4 linked regions of the Schizosaccharomyces pombe genome follow. The protein of the gene in region 4 binds, or shares a complex with, the protein of the main gene of each other region. Each region holds a gene or a part of one and is shown on either strand. Other genes may lie near its edges. The genes, in order: nam9, SPOM_SPBC16A3.14, rsm10 and mrp4.

Region 1 (4,900 bases), on a different chromosome or scaffold from region 4:
TAGCGTACTTTCACAAATTAATTTGACAAATTAAACAATTGTGTAATCCCATTCTTAAAAAAACATAAACCTCGACATTTCCAAGCTTGTTTAGAGAATTATCGTGAAATTACTATCTTGCAGTCCGGAGTTTACTCAATATATTTCAGTTGCTTATTTCCATACAACTACTAACTAGCGAATTCGGTACAAAGCATTTGTCAATTTGAAAAATGAGGGAGGATTTGTTAAGAAACTCCGTTGAATTTTTAAGAGAAAAAACTGTATTAGATGCTCCTGATGTGAAAAAGATTGAATTTCTAAAATCCAAAGGTTTAACTGCCGAAGAAATTCAAGAAGCATTCAAGCTAGCAAAAAATCCGCTATTCCCTTCTTATCCTCGATTTGAAAACACTAGTAATTTTGTTTCAAGAGATTGGAGAGATTGGTTTATTATGGGCGTTATTTCGACTGGATTTGCATGGTCGGCGTATTCATTAGTAAAGGTACGTTCAAAAAACTGAACATTTAAAATATTCGTGCTGTTTTAACATAATTAAATTTAGAAATACATAGCACCAATGTTTCGCGCACCATCTCAAAACGCTTATGAAGCTGATAAAAACGCTTTGGATGCTAAATTTCTAGAAGCTCATAAAATACTCGAAAATTTAGATGAACAAACAAGAAAGCTTTCCGAGAGAACTGAAAAACAGCAAGATGAATTGGACATTGCGTTAGATGATTTAGAAGAGACGTTGAATACTTTGAAGCGTACGTCCGAAAACCGAGATCGTGAAATAGCTAGAATCTCACAAGATGTATATACCATGAGTACTATTACTTTACCACAAAGTCTTGAGCAAATTAAGAAATCTCAAGAAGAAGCATTACAAAACCTTTCGAGAGAAATTAGCTCTCTACGATGTTTACAAACTGATTCAAAAAAAGACGACACTTTCGCTACCACATCAAACTCTTCGATACCAGTATTAGAGAATCCTTTAGATACTTCAGAAGGTTTTCAAACTAAAAAGGTTGGTACTGCCTCCCTTCCAGATTGGCAAATATCAATGCATAACGAGGCTTCTAAAAACATTGATTTCAATGATATTGATCCCGCAGAGTCTTACGTTGCAGAAGATGCTTATTGACAGTAATAAAACAAATCACTAATAACAATTAAATTCAGGATTTTTTCTAGAATAATACTTAATGTCATTTAACTGGTCTGTCAAGACGCATCTTAATCATTTAACAATCTGCATTCTGCATCAGCTAATAAATGTATATTATATAATAAAGGAGAGTCAAGTAGATATAATAAAAAGCAAGTTTGCTGCAAGGTTAAATGTAGTATCTTACATCACAATCTCACCAACCAAACCAACCTTTATTTCTTTATGAGGAAGTACAAGGCAATTTTGAACGCGTACTTCATCATGGACTATACAATCGGCGCCCATAACAGTAATAGCTTGGACTTTAACGCTGTTACGCATAATCGTAGTGGAGTGCTGGCTTGGAAGAGTTGGAGAACCTTCGACTCGAGACCATTTACCAATCTTGCAATGGCGGGAAAGAATGGAATGTAAAACAACAGCATTGGCAGAAATTTCGCAATCCTCTTGAATAATTGAGTTTCGAATACGTGCGCCATCCTCGATGCGAACACGAGCACCAATTGAAACATTGGGTCCAATCTTTGCACCTTTGCTAACAATAGCATTAGGATGAATAAAAACCGGCTGAATGATCTCAGCCTCAGTGTCGGGTTTTGGAAGAGTACCATCATGATATGCCTTTTGTAAATACAAGGAATTAGCAGGAACAGCAGAGCCAGCGGTTTTTATTTGACGCCAGAACTCAGGAGTATTATAAGCATAAATGGCTTTAGAGGAATCTGAGCACAATGGAGCAAGCACATCGGTCTCCAAACTGAGGTAGTCTTCCATTCCTTCATCCAAGGACCTGAGTTGCTTCTCGACCTCCTCAAGTCTACGCTCGTACGCTTTTTTGATTTCATCGAATATAGAGGCATCAAAGATATAAATACCACATGAAATAATATTTGAAAGATAGGAGCTTGGCTTATCAACATAATGAAGTACACGCCCAGTACTTGGTTCCTCTACAAGGCAACCGAAGTTAGAAGCATCTTCTTTACTAACCTTAGTAGCCATTAAAGTAACTAAAGCTTTCTTCTCGTGATGAACGTTTAACAATTCTTGTAAGGGAAAACTGCAACACACATCCGCATGCATAACAAAAACATTAGAAGTATGTCCTTTAAGGATTTGATCACGGAAATGGTATAAGCCGCCACCAGTTCCTAAGCAGTTGTATTCACGGAGATACTTGATACGATTGAAACTGGGGAAATGCGAAGCTACTTCGTTGATAAAATCTTTGAAAACGCTTTCATCGTAGAAACCAACCAAAAAGACATCTTTAACACTTTCAATCTTGGATAAAGCCGCCAAATGATGGTAAATCATTTCTCGTCCTCCAATTTTAAACAAAGGCTAATTTAGTTAGCAAAATAGCTCTTATGTTTCAAATGCAACTAGAAAGTAAAACTGGATTACGTATTTTACCAACATATAAATTCTAAATAAGACGTACTTTAGGGACATCAAACGAAAGAGGGCGGAATCGGGTACCACTGCAAAGTAATTAGTTACTGATATTCACGCGTTTAATAGACTTATTTTTCGTTGGTACGTACCGAGATGGACCCCCGACCAGAATGACAGCAGAGGAAATCATAATAGCAATTTAATACTAAAAAATCAATAATGAGTATCAAAATCACCAAAAACGAAAGAGATATACGCCTCTTGAAACTTGGTGTGTGGTTCTGTGCAAGTCCTGTCCAGCTCTCCTTTGTTTAATAAGGAAGGTAGCGCTATGAGCTAACTTCTGCCAGTTCATATTTGCACTTAATAGCCTGGCTGCAGAAGATAATACTCTATGTAACAATGAAATACTAATGTAAATCAATTTAGTTCAAAAACCCATGATCTAAAAATTGTGCTGCAGGCTGAGGCACTTTGCCAGCCGTGAGGAACTTAATGCTCATCATCAGCTGTTTTGCAGAAAATAGTAAAGCACCTTCTAGCTTTGGTACAAATTATAATGCATTAAAACTTAAATAAATAAAATTTACTAATTGAATTTTCGAGTAAAAGTAGCCTTTTTAAAAATTTGTTCTCTTTAATCACCTTTATGAATTTACCATCAACTTCACGCACTACGCTGGAAGATTGGACTCTCGTGACAAAGACTTAATTGCTCATGAAGGGGAAATTTAGGTTCTCTTTAAAGCGCGGTGTATGTTATATATGAAATTATTGATTTTTTCGCTTTTATTAATACATATCTAGCTTTTGCGTCCGTCGTGGAACAAATACAATATATACAACATTGCAAGAAAACAACTACCTGCTCTGAATAATAGAACTTTATATCAAAAAAAATGGAATGCGAAGAAGGAAACAAGGTCTTATCATGGTCCTCAATTACGCGAATATCAACTGAAAAATGCCTTCCGCCCAAAATTGGAGGGGGTTATTTCTTCCTTAGATAATAAGCTTCCCATCCCTTTTATGAATCAGACTTATGCATTTTTGGAATCCCGTTTAGACATGTCTATTCATCGAGCGTTATTTGCGTCTAGCGCTTTACAGGCTCGCCAACTGGTGCTTCATGGAAAAGTGCACGTAAACGGAAAACCTGAACGCCGTGCCTATCGTCAACTCTTACCTGGTGATTTAGTAACTGTTGATCAAAAATCAGTAATGAATTGTGTTTCTGCCTCTAGTAACAATACCCCTTCTATACAGGATGGGAAGCAAACTGAACAGGTGTCCTCTAAGGATGGAGAAAATGAAAAAAAAAAGGATAATGATGATGATTTATTTGAACAGACTTCTAATGGAAAGTTGCCCTCTATCAATGAAACAATTTCCAACTTTGTTCCTAAACCGTTTATGTCACTAATGGCATTTATCCCTGCTTATTTAGAAGTTTGCTTCCGCACTTGTTCCTTTGTTTATGTGCGTGATCCAGTTGCTCGTCCTGGCTTAACGGAAGTTCCTTCTCCATTTCCTGAAGACTTGCACGCTTTAGCCTATACATACTATATCAGAAGTCGTAATATGCGGCAAGGAGCAGCTAGATGTCAGGCCAGACGGCTTATTCCGCAGAAAGTACGCGATGCATCATTTTATCAAGGACCTCCTGAATTATATAAAAAACGAAATGTTTCTCCCAAAGAAGCATTCTCTCATCGGTATCCAGTTCGTCAAGGAAAGTTGACGAAACTCGTATAAATCGAATAAATGAACTCCTCTCAAAAGTTTAGTAATAAAATATAAAACATTCTCAATTATGCTTTTTGTAATACTATGTTGATTTCCACTTTTGTTTTCCTGCTCTATGAAGTAACTGCCCTGTCTACTGCTATCCACGTAACCAAATCTTATACACATACAAGAACTGGCACATCTTTTTTCATGTACCAAAAGGAGGCCTTTTATCGTGGACGTAGCTCAACAAGACAATTTAACAATACCCGATCTCCATCTGGACGTTCAGCGTCGCGTTCTTCCAATTTCTCACATCGGTCTAGTAGTCGTGATTCTTTTTCCTCGAATAGATCTTACTCGAGTTCGCTTTCCAGATCTCCAGAAGAACCATTGCGAACAGTACGTTTTCCATGTATAATTAGTTATTTAAGGCATACTAATCGTTTCTAATACGATGCAAAATAGATTCTTGTGGAAAATTTGACGCGTAATGTCACTAAAGAACATATAGCAGAAATATTTGGGATTTATGGACTAATTGATCATATTTTCATGCCAATTTATAAAAAATGTGAGTGAGCTTTTATTTTTTATGAATTACACCCACTAAC
Region 2 (4,847 bases), on a different chromosome or scaffold from region 4:
CCCTCGTCCAGTTCCTCATAATGGAACCAAGCCTGATCATAAACCCTGGAAGCACGAGGAACACTGCCATCACGGTAAGTTTCCCCGTCCAATTCCTCACAATGGAACCAAGCCTGACCATAAACCCTGGAAGCACGAGGAACACTGCCATCACGGTAGGTTCCCTCGTCCAGTTCCCCACAATGGAACCAAGCCCGATCACAAGCCATGGAAGCACGAGGAACACTGCTCATGCCATCATGATAAGTTCTCTCGCCCAGTTCCTCATAATGGAACCAAGCCTGACCACAAACCTTGGAAGCACGAGGAACACTGCCACCATGGTAAGTTCCTTCGTCCAGTTCCTCACAATGTAACCAAGCCTGACCATAAACCCTGGAAGCACGAGGAACACTGCCATCACGGTAAGTTCCCTCGTCCAGTTCCCCACAATGGAACCAAGCCCGATCACAAGCCTTGGAAGCACGAGGAACACTGCTCTTGCCATGAAGACCATTCAGTTCATGAGCGTCCTAGTGCTAAAGGGGCTCTCGAGGACTATATTCAAACATTTGTAGAAACTTTCCAAATTGATGGTATTCGTTTCGATGCTATGGGTGACAAATATAGAAAGTACTGGCCAGATTTTTGCAAAGCTGCTGGAGTGTTTTGCATGGGTGACTTGAAATCTTCCGACTCTTTAAAAGTTTGTGATTGGCAAAACGACTTGGAAGGGTTGAGTAACTTCCCTGTTAGAGAATCTGCTGTAAAAGCATTTTTGATGAATAATCCAGAGGGAATTGTTGATCTTGCCGACAAAATGACTGACATGCGCGGTTTGTGTGTCAATCCCCTATTGTTAGGAAACTTCGTTGAGAACAAAGACCTTCCTAGAATGGCTTCAATTTCTAGTGATCCAGCCACCTTAAAGAATGCAATTGCTTTTGTTCTTATGGGAGATGGTATTCCTATGATGTACAACGGCCAAGAACTTGCCATGCGCGGTGAAGAGGTTCCTTATAATCGACCTGCAATTTGGGAGAAAGGTTTCCCAAAAAGAAATCCTTACTATAAGTTCACGTCTACAATCAATCGTTTCCGCAAAGCTATGATTGAAAGCAAAGACGGAGAAGCTTTCTTAAATATGCAGTCGGATATTAGCATCGTTGATAAAAGAATATTGCTTTTACGACGTGGCAAAGTAATAACCGTACTCAACAACTTAGGTTCATATTACATTCATTTCCATTATACTGTTTCGGCAGAAGAGCACAAGTGGATGGACGTATTATCTTGCAAGTCCGTTCCAGTACAAGATAATCGACAGGTATTTATGGTACGCAACGGTGAACCCATGATCTTGTACCCAGAGGAATCGGCTTATGAGATGGGATTGTGCCCATCTCCAATTCAGCTTACTGAAGATTATAACAGTGAAGGTTCTCTCTCCATTAACGTTGAAGAAGCCCAAACATCAAAGGCACCAGAGCAAAATCGAGGATTTACCAATGTCCTCGCCGCTCTTTTATTATCTTTGTTAATGATTTTGTAGGTATACGTTCCTTGAAATCTAATAATATACAGATTTTTTATTTTACATAAACCTTTTTCATATAAAGTATGATGACTTAGTTTACAGACCCATAGGGCTCTGTACTGAAGTTCATGAACGATAAGTCACCTCAATATAAATAATAGACGGGTAAATCCATTTTAATTTTTGGCTTTAAATTACAAAGTACTCAAGTAAAGCTTTAGCCAAAAAAATTTAAACTCCCATAATGATATCCGACGCAAACCGTCCAAACGTATTCATAATTGCGGTGGTGTGGCTAACTTGTATTTGACACAAGGCGAGCTGCGATACCCAAACACGTCCAGTTCCCTTAAATACTTCGTTGTTGGTTTATATAGGTATTTCAGCAAGTTATACCTAATATTCAGATAATTTGCTTATGCTCAACACAGGTCTACGAAAAGGGCTTGCGCTTTCACCGATAACTCACCTTCTGAAACGATGTAGTTCAGTTACAGACAATGTGCATCGAGTAAACTATTGCTACAATTACCACACAGTTCCTAATCTTTCACAAAGAAATTTGCTACCACTTTTCAGTCCTGAAGCTCTTGACATTGCCTGGGACCAGCATCAACGTCAAGTAGTAAAAGAATTAAATGATCGAGTGAAGGGAACAGAACTTGAGGATTCATCTGTGTTTAACATTATCTTTCAAACAGCCGCTTTGCCTGAGCATGCAGCCACATTCCAGTTTGCAAGTCAAGCTTACAACAATCATTTCTTTTTTCAAAGCTTGATCGGAAAAAGAGCTGCAGATGCCAAAAAAAACTCAAAATATGAAGCTAATGCCGCTATCAATAAAGCAGTCAATGAAAACTTTGGTTCTAAAGAAAATTTACTTTCTAAAATTCATGAGCTTGCCTCAAATAGTTTTGGAGCATGTTGGCTTTGGATTGTAATTGATGATTATAATAGATTAAACTTACTGAGAACTTTTCAAGCAGGTTCTCCGTATCTTTGGACTAGATGGCAATCAAATGATCCCCATCTTATTTCTAGTGTGCCAGATTATAGTGCCAGACCTCGAAAATATGCGCATGTTCCCATTTTAAACCTTTGTTTATGGAATCATGCATATTATAAAGATTACGGTCTTTTAAATCGCTCAAGATACATCGACACATGGTTTGATTGCATAGATTGGTCTGTCATTGAGGAAAGATTGACTAATTCTTTGGTATGAAAGAAAGGTGCAATCAATTTAGATAATTATATCTCATCACAATCTTGTTATGATTTTAAAAAAACGCCTTTTTCTACTTTCACCTTATAAATTTCATTCTAATTTTAATAAAAATTGTGTTTTCTCTACTCGTCCTTGAAACTTCTACAGTAGACTGTTTTGGCTCATGCTCGTATTCTAAATGATTTTAGGCTAATTCCGAGCAATCGAGTCATATAAGTTAAGTAATTTATTAACCAATTAACCGATTTATTGCTTAGAGGTTGAGATTAAAAACATTTTTTTTGTAAAGCTAGAAAAGCGCCAATACACAATGTAATTTACAGTTTATAGTGTCTCTTTTTCATGCAAAATTAAAAAAAAAAGATACCACAGAAAGGAGAAATTGAAATTTTACTGGTGGTTTATTTGCAAAGATAGAGTGGATTAGATTGATATCTAAATGAGAATTGACTAGTAAAGAAAAAGAATGTTCAAGTTAAAAAATCAGTGAGATAAGTGGACGAGCAATTTATCTCCTTGCCGCTGGGTGAACATTTTAACTCTCAAAGAAAGACAGACACCCTTTAGTTATTTGACCACAGGGCTGAATAAACAAAGATTAAAGAGACAAGGGTAGATGCAAGATATCTTCAAGTTATAAAACGAATGAAATAACGTATAAAAGCGATTATTGGATAAATTAATACTCTTCGTCAGCTTCGTACATTTCGTTATCCATAGAATCTTGACCAACCTCTTCGTAATCCCTTTCTAAGGCAGCCAAATCTTCTCTGGCTTCTGAAAATTCACCTTCTTCCATACCTTCACCGACATACCAATGAACAAAAGCACGCTTGCTGTACATAAGGTCAAACTTGTGGTCCAGACGAGACCAAGCTTCAGCAATCGAGGTGGTATTTGAAAGCATACAAACAGCACGATTTACCTTAGCGATTCCACTACCAGGAACGTGTTGGGGTGGCTCATAGCAAATACCGATTTTGAAACCAGTAGGGCACCAATCAACAAATTGGATGGTGCGACGAGATTTAATGCTAGTAACGGCAGCCTGGACATCACGTGGGATAACATCACCACGATACAAAAGACAAGTAGCCATATAGCGGCCAGTTCGTGGATCACATTTTACCATTTGATTATAAGGCTCAAAGCACTGATTCGTAATCTCTTGTACGCTGTTGGATTCATGGAATGCTTTAGCTGCACTGACAATAGGAGAATAAGTGACTAAAGGAAAGTGAATACGAGGGTATGGCACAAGATTAGTTTGAAACTCATTTAAGTCAACATTTAAGCTACCAGCAAATCGAAGAGAAGCGGTGATAGAAGAGACAACTTGAGCAATAAGGCGGTTGAGGTTTTCATAGGTTGGACGCTCAATGTCAAGATTTCGGCGACAGATATCGTAACAAGCCTCATTATCAACCATAAAGGTACAGTCAGAGTTATCGAGAGTAGCATGGGTAGTGAGCACAGAGTTGTAAGGTTCAACAACGGATGTGCTCACTTGAGGGGCGGGATAAACAGAAAATTGGAGGTTAGATTTCTTTCCGTATTCCATGTTCAAGCGCTCCAGAAGTAAAGCACCCAAACCCGAGCCGGTACCACCACCAAAAGAATGAAATACAAGGAAACCTTGGAGACCAGAACAATTGTCAGCCATACGACGTATCCTTTCTAATACACTATCAATCATTTCCTTTCCTACAGTATAATGTCCACGGGCGTAATTGTTAGAAGCATCTTCCTTACCAGTTACCATCTGTTCAGGATGAAACAGATCTTTATACGGTCCAGTACGAACTTGATCAATAACGTTAGGCTCAAGATCAACATAGATACTTCTAGGTACGAATTTTCCTTGCCCGGTTTCAGAAAAAAATGTACCGAATCCATCATTTAAATAGCTATTGTTTTTGTGAACTTCGGAGTTTTCTGTAGGAAAACCGTCGGGTCCTATGCCATGCTCCAAACAGTACAACTCCCAGCATGCTAGAAATGTTAGCTAAATTTTTTATGAAAAAATCGATTGCCAACTATTTAGAGTATACAGCAATACAAAAAGATGGATATTGAACATACCGTTACCGATTTGAACACCTG
Region 3 (6,471 bases), on a different chromosome or scaffold from region 4:
CAAGGAACTCAAGAAAAATCATACTTATTGTTAGTCTGTTGTGTGTAAAATCCTTTTTCTGTAGCGATGGCAGTTATTAAATTAGCAGGTGTAACGTCGAAAGCTGGGGAATACACGTCAATCCCAGGAGCAGCAATAGAAATTCGAACACGCTTTGGATCCTCTAGATTTCGGCTGTTAGAGTCTGTGATTATGGGGCCTGTAATCGTGGTCATTTCAATCGGAGGTCGCTGTTCAATGGTAATCTGAGAACCAGACGCTAAACTAGTGTCAATTGAAGAAAAGGGAGCAGCCACTATGAAAGGCTTTCCAAAGTGTTTTGCCAAAATAGCAAGATTATATGTGCCAATCTTGTTTGCAGTATCGCCATTACGAGTAACGCGGTCGGCGCCGACGACAATGGCATCGATTTTGTGCATAATTGAAGCAACCGTGGAATCTGTGACTAGAGTTGCTGGAATTTTATCATGAACCAACTCAAAAGCAGTGAGACGAGAGCCTTGGTTATAAGGGCGAGTTTCTGTACAATAAGCGTGTTCCAAGTTCCCCGATTCGTGTAAACTACGAATGATCCCCAAAGCTGTACCATAACCTGAGGTAGCTAAAGATCCAGTGTTGCAATGGGTCAAAACGGTGAGCTTGTCTTTATCTTTGTAATGCTGCAACAAGAATTTTCGGCCAGCAGTTCCAATATTGTGGTTGTCTTCTAAATCTTTTACTAGCATACGCTCCGCTTCCTGAATAATTTTATTTCGACAATTTTTTCCTTCTTGAAGAGCAATGCCTTGCATAAACTTTGCAGTTTCAAAAAGATTGACAGCGGTAGGACGAGACTGTTTGAGATGCTCAAAGCTATTTATAACATATTCTTTTGCATCTGCATCTTCAGAAAGATGTTTTAATCCGACAGCCACACTCAAAGCTGCTACAATAGCAATAGCTGGGGCCCCACGAACTTGCATTTTTTTTATGACAGCGAATGCGTCTTCTACATTACTAACTGAAATGTATTTACGCTCGTACGGAAGAAGTAATTGGTCTAATACAAGAAGCTTGTCCTCATTATAAATGATTGCTTGCAACGACATTCTGCCCAAATTTTTGAATATCTCTGCCTTTGAAAACTTTTACTTCACTAGCGCACGAACGCACATGCATCAGATAAAATTAAAGGATTTGATGAAGCTCGTAGCGATGCATTAATAGAAATAATGAATTAATATAAAGTTACACTGTGTAGTTTACTTAGGAACAAAAAATAGTACATTAAGTTTAATATAAATTTATAAGAAGAGTTAACGCAGTCTTTCGTACTTTTGACACTGCTTATAGATAGATAAAATTAGCAACCCTAACTTAATATTGTGCTTCTTATTTATCCGCACTATTTGATATGCATCTAACATTTTGAACGCGTAAACAAAAAATTTAGACTCATTCAAAGATGTAAGTTCCATCGTCAAATTATATTACCAAGTTATTTTGATAATGAGTATGGTGCCTTGAATTATAGATTAAAAAATGTATCACCGAATTTATTTTTAATAATGAGTCGATCTGACATATTAGAATCAAGGAATAATAATATGCATTGATGTTTTATGAAGGAATTACAGCTGTAGAACCTATGTATACAAACTTCAAACTTTTAAAGATGAGAACGATATATTTTTTTCGTTTTCCAGAAAAGCCATGCTTGAAGTATTTATCAAGATGTTCGGTAGTGTCAATTTAATAATCATATGTGCGACTTTGACTTTGACATGCAGCAAGAAGTTGTTGACACCAACCTATCTGCTTGAAAAGTGATACTCGTTTGCAATACTTAAATATATATATATATATATCAGTGATCGCAAGTCAGTTTTGAATGCAGGATTGGTAAACAAGGGTCGCAAGTTAATATATTTATATAGCTGTCTGCTGTAACAGTTTAACATACAACCTTGAAACTGTAAAACATTGAATATTTTTCATTGTTAAAGCCAATTTAAATGAGAACGATTATTGTGTTACGAGGTAAGCATTTAATTCCAAAATCCCTATGTATTCTTGTAGTATAAAGTAATTTGAATGACAAATCAGTAGATTCTTCCATAATTGCAAGTAGGATGCCAGTCCCAAACCTTTAATTCCTAGCTCAAAAGCACAATTGTTCAGTTCACACTTTTGTTAACTTCCGGAATTTGTTATTGTAAAATAATTGTCTCCTCATAATTTTAAAAAATTACATCTCATTGCTGACTGAGAACTCTCATCATACTGGTCAATTTTAAATTGTGCTGAAAGCCTTATAATCACAAATATTCATGTTTAATCGAATTTTTTTGGTTTTCTTCACTATGGTGCATCAATAATATTTTTAGTACAGTACAATCACACCCACCTTTGAATTCTAAACTTTGACCTTCAAATGCAAATAAAAAATTTATAGTTAGATCGTTCCATCATAGTATAAATTACAGAATGATATTGCTTTTTTAAAATAAATGTTACCATCTACGTGTTTTTCAAGGTATTCACGCGCGAACGACATTTAAAATGATTTCGCTCCGCTTGTTTATGTTCAATTAAAACATTGATTAATAACCCCTTAGTCCTACGATAATTGTGTTAAACTGAATATGATGGTGGATGACAAGTGTAGCTCGACCATTACTCCCCACTCCAACCAAAAAATTTTGTTAAAAAAAAACACCTTTACAGTGTTTAATTGTTGGAATTTTGTTCTTGTGGTTTTCTTAACAAGTATTTTAAGTAACCGGCTAAAATATTAATCATGAAACGGTATATGTTTGGTACATTACCTCGCGTGCAACCGAAACGTTGTTTCCAGACAGCTATTGGCAAAGAATCACCGTATGTATTCAATCCTTTCCTCTAATTTAAGCTATAATTTTGTACATTCTAACCCCAATTTATTAGCAAAGGGAACAGCGAAAAGGATCAACTTTTTGAGAATCCATTTTTTCAACAGCTTCCTTCCAACGTTGCAGCTGTATATTTGAACCCTGTTAAATTCAATCCTTCTGAAAACGACGTACTTTGTGCTTCTCTAAAAATTAAAAGCTTTGAAACTCCAAAACTTGATACGTTTACCGACTTCATTTGTCGAACAGCGTATTACATGAAAATTCCAATCAAGGGTCCACGTCCATTACCCAACAAAGTAGAAAGCTGGACTTTACTCCGATCACCTTTTATTCACAAATCTTCTCAGGAGAATTTTGAACGTATTACGCACTCTCGACTTATACAACTGTACAGTGTCAATCCAGTTACTTTAGAAACGTTTTTTAGTTATTTACGAAAATGCAACATGTGGGATTTAAAATTGCAAGCAAAAGCTTATGAATACGAATCCATCGATGATGCCCTTAAAAACTTCGAGTCACAGTCTAAGTCTACTGATAATTTCAAAGAATTGTTAAACGGTCCTTCGAAAAAAGATATAATCACACAAAATGCCGAAAAATTGCTCAGAAACGACCCCATTTACAAAGATTTGTTAAAAAATTCATCTCGAAAATAAAAATTAACTAATGTGTTTTCAATTACTCTGATGTTGGACCGTTTATTAGCAAAAATACTCTGACTGTATTCGTACTTTTTTTTTTAACAATATGACACTAGCTTTTCTTCATTAAAAGTGTTCTTTAACTAAAAACGTTACGAATAGTCCACACTTGTTTCGTTAGTTTTCCTCACCAGTAATTTTTGAAGTTTCTTGGGGATTGCTTTTCGAAAGAACAAAACCCGCAAGTGCCTTAGGTCCTTCAGATTTTTCCATTTCAAGCTGTTCCATTGGATCCATTGGTGCTGCTGCACTTTCAATTTTAGCTGCTCTCTTCGCTATATGAAGGGAATCAGTGCTAAACTTAGTTTGTACAGACCGTTTAATACGAAGCATTTCTTTAACTGTTTCTTCTGGATTTCCGTACCTTATTTCAAATTCTTGCCATGCTTTCCAATAATCCGTTTCAACTCTTGGATCACAGTATTGACTTCCATGAATATATATTAAACGAGCACGATCGATTTCACCAAGTTTCGTCTCCATTTCAGCAAACCTTAAGCACATATCTTTGACTTCTGAGTCACTCAGGGATTCAATAGCCTTCTCATAAACTGTCCTTGTCGCCAGTACACCATAATTTAATGCCACTTTAACGAGTAACACATTGTAAATAGCAAGACGGTCTGCTGTTTTAACCTTGTCGGCCGCTTTTTCTAAAATAGAAATGGATCTTTTTGCTTTGCCAAACTTTTCTTCGAAATCGGCATACAGAAGATAAATACTTTTCGAAAATTCGGGCGGACATCCTTCTAATGCTTGTTCAAATAAATCCCTGGTCCTTTCCATATGCGTTCCTTGATATCGTTTAACAAATTTTGTTAAATATAAATTCCAAAGTTCAAAAGCCACGGGATAACTAAATAACGCAACACCTCTCTCATAAATTTTAAATGAATCTTCAAAATAAGCATTCTCCTCTAAGAGATTTGCATAATTGACAACCACCTGGGGAGTAGCAATTTTTAGTTCAAAGACGCGGTCGTACAATTTGCGTGTAGTTTCAATCGTACCAACGCTTTCCTCAAGATCAAGATAATACATCCATATCTTAGATGACTTGTGTAGCCGTACTTGTGGACTGAGTGATTCATCAAAAAAGCTGATATGACTTTTTCTAGGAGCATGAACGGCATCTCCTATTAATTTTCTCGCAGCGTCAAAATTTTGATGTCGAAGTTCCATCTCGGCCCAGTCAATCCAAACTTGTGCTAACTCATTGACTGTTTTATATGGTACATGAGTAGCCTTTTCAAAAATTATCCTTGATTGTTCTAAATCATCAAAATTTTCATAAAAACGAGCAAACTCTGAAAACAATTTGCCGAGGGAGCCATGCGCCAGCTTTGGATTTACATTTTTTATAGCGTCTGTGTAAACTTGAACAACTTTTTCGCTGTCGTCTTCTAAAAACTTGACTCGGCGAAGCCATTCGTCAACGTTATTTATATTTTGCCTTAATAATACATCATTGATATAAAGCGGACGTTTGTCAAGTATTTTCTCGAGCCAGGCCATATGAAAATCGATACTTAATTCGTCATTTGCATTTCCGCTGCTTGCTTCAACTCGTGCAGATAGCCATTGCTCTTCGAATTCAACAAAAGCATCGAATATAATTGTAAAATTTCTTACAGTCATTATGTTATTCATCCCTTCATAGAATGTGCTTCTTGCCTGTACGATAAGTTAGTTTTTGCAATAAGGGGTCAATAAACAAACCAGTTAAACATACCTTCTCGTAGTCACCAATGCGTATATAATATTGTGCCAAATAAGTCCATAGTTTCCCTGCTTGATCAGAAAACCTTTTAATGCCAGCTCTAAAAACCTTTTCTACGTCTATGTTTTGCGTATGGTCAGGATGCTGAACAACTAACTCGGAAAACTCGAGCCATATCTGATAATTGCTCTTCCTTTTTGCTGATAAAAACACGGGCCGATTTAAAATATCCTCATATTGTCGAGCAGCTTCATTCCACAGCCCTAATTTACAAAGTATCTCAATGTAGTTTTCAATTGCTCTTGGTTCTACTTGTATATATCTGCGGTAGACATGGATGCAAAATAATCCTCCAATATCTTCAGCATATTTCGTAAACATGTCCCAAATATCATCGTGCTGAGTTACCGGTAAGGCGCGAAGTGCAGAGTTAAATGTACAACGAATCTTAGTGACATTTGGTTGTTTCATCAAAAATTGTAAATATAGTTTCCAAATAACAGGCATTTTATGCAATAAAATCAAAGAGCGCTCAAAACAATCGTTTACAGAAGCAAAAGCTTCGGCATGAAAATATGGGTTCAAATGTTCAACATGCGCTACACGTAGTTCCAAATAGCTTTTCCATATTTTATAGCTTCCCGGGAGTTCTGAACAAGCTCTTTCAAATAAAAGCACACGCTTTTCCAAAGTAGATCCTTCATGGGTCTTTATATATCGTAACCAACTTTTCAGAGAATATGGATCACGTAGCAATTCAAGCTCAAACGGCTCGTCATCAACATTAATTAGATCAAAATTAACTTTCAGTGGAATAACATCTCCCATTTCTAATCCTTTTGATTGTTTTCTAAAGAAGCCCGATGTAGGCTGTTGTCGTGCATACAATAGACCTTGGGCAAGTGAAAAATATGAAGTTCAATTTTAACCCCATAAGATGAAACTTAATTGAGAAAGCACATTGCTTATAAGATATAAAACAAATAAATTACAGAATTAAAAGACTGTCTATATGCCCACCTCTAGGGAATTAAGCCAAAGTATGTTGATAAATCAGAGCTACAAAATACAGCCCTTCGATTTCTATTTCATTTGTTGTAAATCACTATCCATAACGACCTTCTGCTATTTAACTACCCTTATCAGTAAACCTCTTCTGTACTTCGAATTTATT
Region 4 (4,696 bases):
AATCGTCTTTAACTCCCAAAATTATATCGGTAAAAAAGACCAGTAAAAACGTTTGCATTTGGGCATTAATGGCCATAAAATCCACATGCTAAAATTGAGTTAGTAATTACAATCAAATTTTTAGAATATACGTACTTTGAGGATAGTTAAGGGCTGTGCAGCTTCAATGACTAAAGACGCATAAAGCTTCGCCAAGTTAACTATGCGTCTCATGGATATTTCTCTTTCTTCACTATCATCATCTGGTTGTAGTTCATTAAAGAAATCCCAAAGAGAGAATTGAAATGACTTTTTCAAATTGTGCTGCAATGTACAACATTTTAACGCTACCAAACCATAAAACGGGTTATACAATTTCTCATTACCAACGCAATGCAAAATTACATAAGCTATTTCAGGTAATTGATTCCTTTTGAGATGCAACTTCAGCACTCTTTCCCATGCATCAATGTAGTCCTAAGTTTGTTAGTTTAAAGTTAATGAAATTTAGAACGAATACCTCTGAACCAACAAGGGCAACGAATATCGAAGTTCGAAGAGTTGAATTCAATCTTAACTTCTTAGCAGCTTGTAAAATTTTTGAATGGGCCGTCAGTTCTTCTGATTTTTTCTTATCCTGTAATGCTTCAGTAGATAATGTGTTGTCACCAGATGGAACATTATTCCAAGAAGCTCCAACAAGCCACCATCGACCTTTCGTCTCAATCTGCTCAATATCTTCTAAAGTAACTCGTAAAGGCTCTCTAGCATTTAATGAGCGGTTGCCTAACGAACCCAAAAATTTCTTTAGCTGATTTACAGCTTCAAATTTAGATTGGGCGCTAGCATTGGCAACTTTTGTTTTTTTGTTTTCTTTAAGATTAGTGATCGATTCTACCATAAACTTTGTACGGACAGATATGGTTGATGGATCAGCTGAAGCTAATAACAAATTCATTTCCGTAACAATATCTTGGAGAGACGTCGGGTCATCTGATCGCAACTGCCCTCCACAATTGAGGACAATTTTGAGCAGCATTTCAACGTTCAATTCGGTTAAAGAGCGTAAAAAAAGGCGAATCAAATCATAAACAAGAACACATGAAACAAGTTGAAAATTATACAACTCAACAAAAAATACAATCAAGTTAGAAGTCTCCTTATGGGAAGAAAGAGGTTCTTTCTCTTTTGATTTATAAAGCTGCAAAAAACGTTCCACTAGGGTTTGCAATAGATGAGCACCAAAGTCATTGCCTACAATGCGGTAAAGAGCAGTGGCTAACGCAGCATATACTATGGCCAATTGATCTAGCATAGATTCTCTTCCCATTACGGTTTGTAGTAGCAAATTGGTGATGGTAGACGTGACTGAGTGTCTTGAATTTTCCATGTAAAGGACTTCAATCTCCTTAATAATTGAAGAAATATTTGCGATAGACAATTTGTTTAGCGATCCTTGTAATTTCCGACGAAGTCGCAGAGCATCTTCTGACTCCTTATCTCCCCCTAATTTTTTCCGTAAAGATGGAGGGACATACTTTGAGCCGACGTTCGCATTAGGTAAGGATGGGACTGCAGGCTTCAAAGGATCCATCCGAATCGGCTTAGTTTCAGGTTGATGGAATTCATCAGAATTAGACTCAAACCCATGAAACTCTTCCTCCTCCTCACCCGAATTTCCTTCCCTTTCACTTTCCAACTCATCAACGCTACCATGGTCACCTGTATCGTCTGAAACTTCAGAGTCTTCTGAATGACCATATGAAGGATCTTCAGTGCCCGGAACGCCTATGTCATCAATTTCTTGATCTAGGTCTTCTAAAAGCCATCCAAATTCCTTGTCAATTTTTGAGTGAGCAGATTTATCTTTGCTTTTGATGCCAAGCATCTTTTCTAAATGAGCGATTTCACGATCATCCTCTTCCAAAGCAATCTTATGCTGAAAAGCAATGGGATCGAGTAATTTACTCTCCTTTGCCTGTTTATTCTGTGAAGATTTTTTTTTTGTAGATGACTTTCTGTGAGCATCTAAGTAATCATCATTAAGTTCAGAAGACTTACTATCACCTTCTTCTGTAATCTTCCGGTTTTCATAACCATTTTTTCCTCGAGAGATCCTAGCAAATTTTCTTTTTTCACGATGAGGTAGATTATGATTTCGCTTTCCCCGCCTAGCACTCGAATCTATCAATTTGGTTAAATATACTGACCAAATCTATAAAAAAAAGCTTACCAGATTCTCCTATCTCTTCTAAAATACTTTTGGGCAGTTTTAAGCTTCTGCTTTTTTTAATTGGCCTCATACTATCGAATGTTTAAATATTAAACAAACGATAATTAATACTAAAGCTCAAGAACTACCAAATTTTTCAATTAAACGATACCAAAAACTGGTATAATTGCTTTACAAAGAGAAGAATTGGGCCTCAGTCTCGAGTTGGCGTATCGTTTCAAATGAATTTCACAACACTGCTAATGGAACTGTATACAATATCGCAATTTGTTAATGCTATTTAAAGTTGTCACTCTGCTGCTGTATTTTACATTAACGCTCTATGTAGTATCACACTAATAAAGCATATCGAAGTGGAAATGTTGCAATCGTGCAGCGATTTCAAAGTCTTAAAGTACTACTACACCAAACGGGCTTTCATTTTGCTCGAGTCATTCGTGTCTGTATTATGCTTTCACGGAAATTATCACCGGAGCAACTTGTAGCTCGTCGTTTAAAAATACGTGACTGGAATCACAAAATAGGTGCAGTTGTAGCTCCCCATTATTCACCGACATTATCCATTCGAAATCCGGCACCTCCTAGTCAACTTAGTCTTCCTTTATTGTTGTCTTCTGGTGCTCATTTAGGACACTCTACATCCATATGGAATCCTTACACGCAGCCCTTTATATATGGTAAAAGAGAAGGTATTCACATAATATCATTGGATCAAACCATGGTTTACCTACGAAGAGCTATATCCGTCGTTAGATCAATAGCTAAAGAAAATGGAATTATATTGTTCATTGGCACCAGAAACGGCCAGAAAGATTCTGTCGTTGCTGCTGCCAAACGTGCTAGAGGTTATCACATATTTGATCGTTGGCTACCAGGACTTCTCACCAATGCCAGAGAAGTACAAGGAAAGCTTGGCGGTTCAATTTTATGTAAAGATAATAGAGGGAAATTGATTCAAACTGATAAAAAACCAAGTTATGTCTTTCCTGATTTGATGGTTATACTAAACCCATTAGAAAACAAAAGTGCTTGTCTAGAGGCACAGAAAACTCATGTTCCAACAATTGGAATCATTGATACTGATGCGGATCCAAGGATGGTTACCTATCCTATTCCAGCAAATGATGATTCTTTACGGTGTACAGATTTAATAGCTGGTTTACTGAGTAGGGTAGCTGAGCAAGAGTACCAAAAAGCTAACCAAGCCTTCGAAAAAGATAAATTTACACTTCCTTTATGATTCCCCTCTCATTGTTTTGAAAATGCCTGTATTCTTTGATTTTTCTAAACATGATTAAAGATAAGGTCTGATTAATTTTCACTAGTATTCAATAAAATTAATGATTCGTAAACGAAAGGTTAAAAAGAAAGAATAAATTATTATGGATAACGTATATATCACATTTCAATGATTTGATGCCAAAATTTTTGTTAAAGACAGACATATTTTGCTGTGCGAAAGGAAATCATCGGTATGCTTTCACATTTTCTATAAACTCTTTTTTCAATTGTTGAATAGTCATCTTTCTAGTATCCCTTGAATTATGATTGTGTCTACTAGATACACTGAGAATTTCTTTGTCAACTTCGTCTTCTCCAATGACAATTTCATAATTATAATTTAAAAGTCTTGATTCACGTAGCCGTTTGCCAATAGATTGTGCTTCAGCGTTTATGTCCACATAATAGGTATTTTTATTGAGTGGGAGAAATTCAGATTCATTGACTTCCTGATTAGACAATTCCTTTTGTACTTGCTTAGCATAAGTTAGAATTCGATCTGTTTGATTGACTGGTAAAATGACAGCATGTCTAGGACTTAGCCAAAATGGCCAGTGTCCATTTAAATGCTCGATAAGGATTCCCATAAAGCGCTCTAAGGATCCAAATATAGCACGATGAATCATTACAGGTTGTTTAATGAGTTTCTCAGACCCGGCATTGTCTCCCGCATCTGTGCGATAATATAATTTAAATCGTTGAGGTAAATTAAAATCTAATTGAATAGTTGCCGTTTGATGCCACTTTCCACGAGCATCTGCAACCATTACATCGATCTTAGGACCGTAAAAAGCACCATCTCCTTCATTGATGATCCACGTTTCACCACTTTCTTGTAAAGCCTCTCGCAACCCGTTTTCTGCTTCATTCCATGTATCTAAAGAACCGATATGCTCTTCAGGTCGGGTGCTAAGGTATAGTTTTAGTTTGTTCATTCCCAATAAAGAATAAACTTGCTTCACAAAAGTGAGAGTATTTTTTATCTCGTCTTTTATGCTCTCGGGTGAACAAAAGATATGACCATCATCTTGATGAAAGCATCTTAATCTAGTTAGTCCAGAAAGTGCGCCTGATGCTTCATTCCTATGTAATGGACTGAAATCTGCAAACCGCAAGGGTAATTCTTTGTAAGAACGTTCAGTACTAGCATATACAATACAATGTCCGGGACAATTCATAGGCTTTAATCCATAAGTGGCATTG

What was found.
Region 1: mrp4 (region 4) and nam9 share a complex: the UniProt entries of both Schizosaccharomyces pombe proteins name them as parts of the mitochondrial small ribosomal subunit.
Region 2: mrp4 (region 4) and SPOM_SPBC16A3.14 share a complex: the UniProt entries of both Schizosaccharomyces pombe proteins name them as parts of the mitochondrial small ribosomal subunit.
Region 3: mrp4 (region 4) and rsm10 share a complex: the UniProt entries of both Schizosaccharomyces pombe proteins name them as parts of the mitochondrial small ribosomal subunit.

The regions. Positions count from the first base shown.
Region 1 is NC_003423.3:3,727,665-3,732,564, reverse strand, and holds nam9 (mitochondrial 37S ribosomal protein uS4m), read left to right. Parts: upstream 1-3,215; 5' UTR 3,216-3,276; coding exon 3,277-3,312; intron 3,313-3,365; coding exon 3,366-4,313; 3' UTR 4,314-4,370; downstream 4,371-4,900. Other genes in the region: protein Pex14, read left to right, coding at 213-485, 546-1,133; mpg2 (mannose-1-phosphate guanyltransferase), read right to left, coding at 1,341-2,504, 2,605-2,644, 2,708-2,748; rns1 (putative RNA-binding protein), read left to right, coding at 4,497-4,688, 4,755-4,860. UniProt on the Schizosaccharomyces pombe protein: Component of the mitochondrial ribosome (mitoribosome), a dedicated translation machinery responsible for the synthesis of mitochondrial genome-encoded proteins, including at least some of the essential transmembrane subunits of the mitochondrial respiratory chain.
Region 2 is NC_003423.3:4,269,025-4,273,871, reverse strand, and holds SPOM_SPBC16A3.14 (mitochondrial ribosomal protein subunit S26), read left to right. Parts: upstream 1-1,839; 5' UTR 1,840-1,934; coding exon 1,935-2,741; 3' UTR 2,742-2,881; downstream 2,882-4,847. Other genes in the region: meu7 (alpha-amylase 4), read left to right, coding at 1-1,531; nda2 (tubulin alpha 1), read right to left, coding at 3,424-4,736, 4,827-4,847. UniProt on the Schizosaccharomyces pombe protein: Component of the mitochondrial ribosome (mitoribosome), a dedicated translation machinery responsible for the synthesis of mitochondrial genome-encoded proteins, including at least some of the essential transmembrane subunits of the mitochondrial respiratory chain.
Region 3 is NC_003423.3:3,867,514-3,873,984, forward strand, and holds rsm10 (mitochondrial 37S ribosomal protein uS10m), read left to right. Parts: upstream 1-2,654; 5' UTR 2,655-2,779; coding exon 2,780-2,859; intron 2,860-2,925; coding exon 2,926-3,532; 3' UTR 3,533-3,694; coding exon of another isoform or gene 3,695-5,251; 3' UTR 5,252-5,307; downstream 5,308-6,471. Other genes in the region: mri1 (methylthioribose-1-phosphate isomerase), read right to left, coding at 9-1,088; protein Cwf3, read right to left, coding at 3,695-5,251, 5,310-6,125. UniProt on the Schizosaccharomyces pombe protein: Component of the mitochondrial ribosome (mitoribosome), a dedicated translation machinery responsible for the synthesis of mitochondrial genome-encoded proteins, including at least some of the essential transmembrane subunits of the mitochondrial respiratory chain.
Region 4 is NC_003424.3:3,064,174-3,068,869, reverse strand, and holds mrp4 (mitochondrial 37S ribosomal protein uS2m), read left to right. Parts: upstream 1-2,603; 5' UTR 2,604-2,660; coding exon 2,661-3,452; 3' UTR 3,453-3,544; downstream 3,545-4,696. Other genes in the region: sgd1 (ribosome small subunit biogenesis protein), read right to left, coding at 1-88, 136-456, 500-2,163, 2,213-2,282; SPOM_SPAC24C9.09 (threonine--tRNA (Thr) ligase), read right to left, coding at 3,679-4,696. UniProt on the Schizosaccharomyces pombe protein: Component of the mitochondrial ribosome (mitoribosome), a dedicated translation machinery responsible for the synthesis of mitochondrial genome-encoded proteins, including at least some of the essential transmembrane subunits of the mitochondrial respiratory chain.